Oryctolagus cuniculus: one gene and its partner. The protein of the gene in region 1 interacts with the protein of each later gene in a biochemical or structural test. Links are inferred from orthologs where the notes say so. Each region holds a gene or a part of one and is shown on either strand. Other genes may lie near its edges.

What was found. The genes of interacting proteins can lie anywhere in the genome.
Region 2: the proteins of TRIM7 (region 1) and RNF187 interact in a test that uses a peptide from one of them, tested with the Homo sapiens proteins (2 studies listed by BioGRID, with this or other methods). The link is inferred for Oryctolagus cuniculus from reciprocal best matches to the Homo sapiens genes TRIM7 and RNF187.

The regions. Positions count from the first base shown.
Region 1 is NC_091445.1:34,889,232-34,892,798, forward strand, and holds part of TRIM7 (E3 ubiquitin-protein ligase TRIM7), read right to left. Parts: intron 3,116-3,567; coding exon 3,093-3,115; intron 2,824-3,092; exon of another isoform or gene 2,808-2,823; coding exon 2,692-2,807; intron 2,279-2,691; coding exon 2,222-2,278; intron 1-2,221. UniProt on the Homo sapiens protein: E3 ubiquitin-protein ligase that have both tumor-promoting and tumor-suppressing activities and functions in several biological processes including innate immunity, regulation of ferroptosis as well as cell proliferation and migration.
Region 2 is NC_091437.1:510,667-514,089, forward strand, and holds the end of RNF187 (E3 ubiquitin-protein ligase RNF187), read left to right. Parts: intron 1-1,230; coding exon 1,231-1,452; intron 1,453-2,009; coding exon 2,010-2,012; 3' UTR 2,013-2,917; downstream 2,918-3,423.

The DNA.
Region 1 (3,567 bases):
ACCAGCCTCCTGCTAACGCACATCCTGGGAGGCAGCAGATAATGGCCCAAGTACTCAGTCGCTGTCACCCATGTGGGACATCCTGATAGAATTCCAGGATCCTGGCTTCAACCTGGCCCAACCCTGACTGTCTCTTTGCCTTTCAATTAAAAAAGTGAAAATAAATAAAGTATGAAAAAGAAAATTGGAGAAATTGGAACACTAGATACTGTAGAGAATCATTAATTGTTCTAGGTGTGATGATAGTTTTGTGGTTGTTTTTAAAAGTCTGTCTTTAGAGAGAACATACTAGGATGTTTATGGAAATGATTTGTTATCTGTTATTTTCTTTATAATCAGTAGGAAGAAACGGGTAGTGATGATTATCAAAATATTAGCCAAGAATTGATAACTGCTGATGATATATTATAGTTCATACATTTGCTATGCTCTCTTCTCCACTTTTATTCTTAAAAATTTTTAAAGATTTATTTATTAAAAGGCAGAGTGACACAGAGAAAGGAAGAGACAAAGAGATCTCCCATCTGCTGGTTCACTCCCTAAATGGTCACAACAACAGGGACTAGGGTAGGTTGAGGCAGGAGCCTGGAACTTCCACTTGGGCTGTCTTCTGCTACTTTCCCAGGTACATTGGCAGGGAGCTGGATCAGAAGTGGAATAACCATGATTTGAACTGGCTCTCTAATATGGGATGCTGGTATTACAGGCAGTGGTTTAACCCACTGTGCCACAACATCAGCCCCCACATTTTTCATAATAAAAATTTCGAATATATACACTTATTCTGAGCATTACTATGTTCCAGGCATTGTTCTAGGCCCTGCAAATAACCACAGAGAATAAAACAGCTAAGTATCTCTACCTTCCTGGAGCTTATTTTCTAGTAGGGAAAGAGGCAATAAATGATCAACATAGAAGTTAAGAAGAATCAAGATAACAGGTTGCAATTTCAACTTGAATGGCCAGAGTAGGTCTTATTGGTAAGCAAAGACATAAAAAAGATGAGGAAGCCAACCAAGCAGCTATCTGGGGGAAGCGTGTTGCAGGCCAAGAGGCAGCCAGTAGGGTCAGGGTTGTGGATAGCTGGTAAAGCCACTCTGCAATGCCAGAATCCTATATGGGCTCCAATCTGTGACCCCCGTGGCTTCAGCCTGGTCCAGTCCTAGCTGTGTGGCCATTTGGGGGTGAACCAGTGGATGGAAGATCTCTCTGTCTCTCCCTCTTTCTGTAACTCTGACTTTCAAACAAACAAACAAAAAAATCTGAAAAAAAGAAAAAGAAAGAAAAGAAAAGAAGCCAGGCAGCCACTGCAGTGCAAAGGCCCAGAGGTAGGTATGTACTTGGTGCGTTCTAGGTATAACAAGGAGGGTGTGCAGCTTCAGAGTAAGTGAAGAGGAGAGTATACAGTAAGGGCAGTCCCCTTAAGGACTTGAAGGCCTTTCCTGAGTGAGAAAGACCATTGCAAGGCTCTGAGCATAAGAGGAGCATCATTTCAGTTGGTTTACATTCTACCTTGGGAAACTCTGACTTTGTCCATCAGCATCAGGATTGTGTGCCTTCTACTCCCTTCCTTTCAGTTTGGATCCCACACATTCCAGAGTTCTGCAGGAATAAGAATTATCCTCCTTCCTGTTACCATATGGGATCACTGACCTGACTTCCTGCTGAACTTATTTTTTTCTTTTTTTTTCTTAAGATTATTTATTTATTTGAAAGGCAGAGTCACAGAGAGGCAGAGGCAGAGGCAGAGAGAGAGAGATACTCCATCTGCTTGTCCACTCCCCAAATGGTCACGAAGGCCTGAGCCAGATCTGGGCCAATCCAAAGCCAGGATCTCAGAGCTTCCTCCAGGTCCCCTATGTGTGTGCAGGGCCCAAGGACTTGGGCCATCCTCCACTGCCCTCCCAGGCTATAGCAGGGAGCTAGATTGAAAGTGGAGCAGCCAGGCCTCGAACTGTTGGGGGTCCCTGTCAGCATAAAACCCCCATCCTCAGGAGAGACATTCTCTGTCTTGAAGCAGGGACAGGGGACAGAGGTTTATCCAGACAATTGACAAGCTTCCCCTAATCCTACTCCTAACTGACCCACAGCTTACAGGCCAACAGGCCCCACTGCTTGATGAGGTCATCAAAATTGACAGGGCAAGGACAAAAGGAACAAGAAAGCAGACTGGCAGGGTCCTTGAGGCAAGTCACAGGCAGGAAATGGATTCTGCACTCACCATCGTAATCCCTGTCCATACCTTTCTCCTCCTTCTCCAGTTCTCCTCGAAGATCCTCTAAGGGAAAAATTCAAAGTACAAATGACAAAAGAGATTGCCTGGCAAGGACGCCACCTTTTCTGACATTTAAATTCCATCAGCTCCCTCCCTCCCTAGGTATTCTAGAGACCAGGAGTTGATATGCAGCTGTTGGACCAAGCATGAGAGGGGTAGGTGGGGGCAGCTGCCCAGGCATTTTAGTTCTGCCTCCCCCAATTCCCTCTCTTGCCTGGAGCTGGTCTGACCTAGCTCTTCCTCCTCATTCTTCTGTGTCCTAGGGAAGCTGAATAGATTTCCCACCAGGGCCTCCCCACACCCCAGTTTTTGTTTTCTCTCACAGGTTCTGGAAAAGGTACACTCAGGACCCCTGAAGTACCACACACACCACTGCCATCCACATTTCATGGCCTGACCCACACCAAGGCCCCTACCTTTGAACTTCTTCAGCAGCCCTTTTAAGACAAAAGTCTTGAGGGAAACATTCCAGACCTTATTCTTCAACTCAGAAGAGACTGTAGTTGGCTTGGGGCCAGGCACATTGCTGCACCTGCAGGACAGGGACCCTGAGGAAGGCCCAAGAACAGTATCTCATGCCCCCTGGGCTATGAAGACTAGGATGACATGGTCCTCTTGGCAGAAAGGTGGAAAAGAGAAAGCTGGACCTCAGAAGGGAGCCAGGTAAGCAAGCTGAAGCCACCTCAGAAAGGGGCCAGGTAAGCAAGCTGAAGGGACCAGCAAACAAGAGGCCAGGAGATGAAAAACAAAGAGAGTTCTCAGTGAGAAAGGAGAAGAGCAGCACAGAGAGGCCCAAGAAAGTGTTAGGCTCACTCACCTGGTTAGTGTGTTTTTGAATTCCTAAAAGACAAGATAGAAGAAAATCAAATCAGTATCAAGTTACCTCCATTCACCTTTCAGAAACCTAAATTTTCTCCTTGTCCTCCTTCCAAAAGAATATGCAATACACAGGTACACCAGGTCTCAAGCCTGAATAGAAACTGGGTAAAAAAGGCTTCCAGCTGTGGCTGGCTACTGTGTGTCTCATCAATGTAAGGAAATCATGTGCCTCAACACAGCTCTACAGCACTCCTTTGTTACAGAATCATCTCTTGAGCCATTTGGTAAGACTTAGTGTTGCCTCCTTCTTCAAACCCACCCAAGATCAGTTGCAGCCTTTACAGAACTCAGTCTTTTAGACCAGTATCTTTTTAAATTGTTGTTCTTGATCCACTTGTGGTTTTCAAAGTTTATCTGGTGGGTTGTGACCATTTTTTAAAAGATTTATTTATTTGAAAGGCAGAGTGGCAGAG
Region 2 (3,423 bases), on another chromosome or scaffold:
TGTGGACCCTGTCCTGGGTGGTGGGTTGTCCCTTGGTTTCAGGAGGGTACTGCTATAACATGGTATACCCAGGCTGGGTGCTGTATAAAGAAGAGATTTCTTTTTTTCTTTTCTTTTCTCTCTCTCTCTCTCTTTTTTTTTTTTTTTTTTTTTTTAAGATTCTTAATTTTTATTTGAGAGGTAGAGTTACAGACAGGGAGAGACAGAGAGAAAGGTCTTCCTCTGCAGGTTTGCTCCCCAAATGACCACAACAGCTGGAGCTGGGCCGATCTGAAACTAGGAGCCAGGAGCTTCTTCTGGGTCTCCCAAGTGGATGCAGGGGCCCAAGCACTTGGGCCATCTTCCATTGCTTTCCCAGGCCACAGCAGAGAGCTGGATTGGTAGAGGAGCAGCCGGGACTTGAACTGGCGCCTATATGAGATGCTGGCACCACAGGTGGAGGCTTAGCAGACTGCATCACAGTGCCAGCCCAAGAAGAGATTTCTTTCTTTTTTAGATTATTTATTTGAAAGGTAAAGTTAGATCTTCCATTCGCTGATTCACTCCCCACATGGTGTCAATGGCCAGCACTGGGCCAGGTGAAGCCAGGAGCCAGAAGCTTCATCCAGGTCTCCTACATGTGTGCAGGGGCCCAAGTGTTTGAGCCATCTTCCCGTTTACCCAGGTACATTAGCAGGGAGCTGGATTGGAAGTGGAGCAGCCGGGACATGAACCGGCACCCACAGGGGATTCTGGCTTTACCTGCATGAGCCGGCCCAAGGAGAGATTTCTGAAGTTTGTAGTTTTGGAAACCAAAAGTCCAGGATAGCGCGGCCCCCTTGTGGGCCCTGGTGAGACGCCCTTGCCAGAAGGAAGGAAGCAGCACACTCAAGGGCCAGCCTGGCGCTTTGTAGCCAGGTCTCTTGGACAGTGTCATCCTCTCTGAGGGCAGTGCCCTCATTGCCTCCTGACGATGCGCTGTGCCCCCAGCCTCAGCTTGCAGCTGGAACCCTCAGGGACACCCTCAAGCCAGAGCAGGGAGCGTCTTCCCCATGAGAATTTCATCTGTTGTAAGAAGCAGAAGGCAGGCCAGAGTGAAATTCTTGTCTCTGCCATTTTTCTTAAATGCTGCAGGGCTGTCAGCCCCCCAAGAGCCAACAGTGGTTTCCCCAGGCTGGGGCAGCTGACTGTGGGCGGGAGGGGCTTCGGTGCTCCAGGAGCTGAGGACCGCTGCCTGCCCTGCCCCTGCAGGGACACGTGATGGACCGCAGGAAGAAGGCCCTGACCGACTACAAGAAGCTGCGGGCCTTTTTCGCTGAGGAGGAGGCGCACTTCCTGCAGGAGGCCGCCAAGGAGGAGGGCTCCCCGGAGGACGAGCAGGCCGACCCCGCCGAGCGGTTCCGCTCCCTGCTGCAGGCCGTGTCGGAGCTGGAGAAGAAGCACCGGAACCTGGGCCTCAGCATGCTGTTGCAGGTGCGGGCGGGGCGGGGAAGAGCCTGCTGGCTCCAGAGCAGACCTGAGGCTGGTGCTGAGGGGGCTGCCGGCAGGCTGACCGGCCAGAGAGCGGGCCTTAAAGCCGCACCCTGTCGTCCACTCAGCATCGAGGGTCCTGGGTGTCTCTGGCTTCTCACGGGAGAGGGCCTTTGCACCCTGAGCTCTGGGTGCTCACTGTTGGTGCTGCCTCACCCTCTGCCCTGAGGCCTGACCTCACCTGGTTGCTTGGGCTTTGCGCACCTGGGCCAGGGCTGTGGGAGGGGAGCGGGACCAGCAGCCTCCTGTGTGAGGTGCTCTTGCCCCTCCAGGTCAGTTGTGACGACTGTGGGTAGCCAGGTTTTGGCCGTGGGGGGACAGAGATCTGGGCCTGGGGGGCTCAGTGGAGGTGGAGGTGTCTCTGTGCCTCACCAGGGAGGAACTCCCGGCTCTGTCTTCTCTCTCTTGCTCTCTCTCCTGACTATCTTCTTTCTTGCTGCCTCTCTCTCTCCGCCCTCTGCTTCTCTCCAACTCTGTTTTCTGCTCCCCGCCCCATGCAGTGACGTCGCTGATGCAGCAGGCGGTTCCCTGCGTAGCTCACGCAGAAAGCACCGCCTCCCACAGCTGGCCCTCCCCTGAGACGCCACCCCCTCCATCTCCGTGGGCACCGTCAGTGATGGCCGAGGACGATGCTCCGCAGGTGCCCCCTCCCCCCGCCGCCCTGGGTTTCCCTGCACAGTTACCTGTCTCAGCAGAGTCTGGTCTTGGGGCATGGACGTGAGACTAGTTGTCGCCCCTACCCCAGGCATCCTGTTCACACTGCCCCCACAACCTGTTCTCCCGTCAGAGCCCCTGCTCCTCACCTCGTCCCCGGATGGCTGAGGTTCTTGGCTTTGCCCCAAGGGTCTCAAACCCTGTACCTTCCAAAGGGTGCCTAGGATGGAGCTGTCCCATGGGACCCTCATCCTGGCCTGGGATCCCTGGGAGGTCCCTGGGGGGAAGCCGGGACTTGAGACTTTGGGCACGGGGAAGGGAAGGTTCTCCGCCCTTCCTGCGGGTCCCCCTGCCTGCATCCCCCTCCCAGCTCCCGACTCTGATTTCTCCTCCATCTGCCCCGATGCCAAGGCCTCCCAGTGCCCCTTCCCTCCACCTTCCCCAGGGTGCCGGGGCTCCCCCATGCTTCTGCAGCCCCTCCCTGCCTCGTCTGTCTCTAGCGTTTCTCACTTGTGTTTGCAACACTCGTGGCGTGGCCATGGTGTGGCTGTGGCGCTCACATGTCATCAGCACAACTGGCAGTCGCCCAGCAGAGTCCTCAGAAAGTCGAGGTCAGGGAGCGTAGATGTGGGCGAGTGTTTAGATTCACCGCCCCTGACGTTTTCACGGGCCCTTAGGAGTCCCACCCTGACAGTCTGACCTGCTCCTGCTGCTGCGTGGGCTCTCGCTGCTAAATAAAGTGGGTTTGCCCTGGCCTGTTTGCCTGAGTCTGTGGGCAGTGTGGGTGTGTCCAGGGCCTCCCTTGCCACAACCCTTGTTAGGGACGGTGAGGCTGGGTTACCATGGGGCTGTTGTGAGAGGGACAGGGACCACTGCTGCCTGGACAGTCACCTGCACTCCAGACACAGCTGGGCAGGTGCCTTTCAGCCAGGAGCAGGGTGGGGCGTGGGTAGACGGTGACCCCTTCCTCCTGACAGAACGTGAGCTGTGAGGTGGGATTGAAGTTGCAGCTCTGAAGTCGGCTGTGTGGGGTAGAAATCTGGAGCTGAAGCCCCAAGTGCAAAACCACTGCGGGAAGAGGAATGGCCAGTCAGAACTAACTCCCACAGGGCACTGACAGTCTCTGAAGTCTGGGTTTATTTTTACAAGACTCCTTTTGTAAAAACAAGTCGACAGATTTCTTTAAAAATCAGAACGCTGGGGCTGGTGTTGCAGCACCGCAGGTTAGGCCTCCCCTAACCCAGTGCTGGTTCAAGGCCC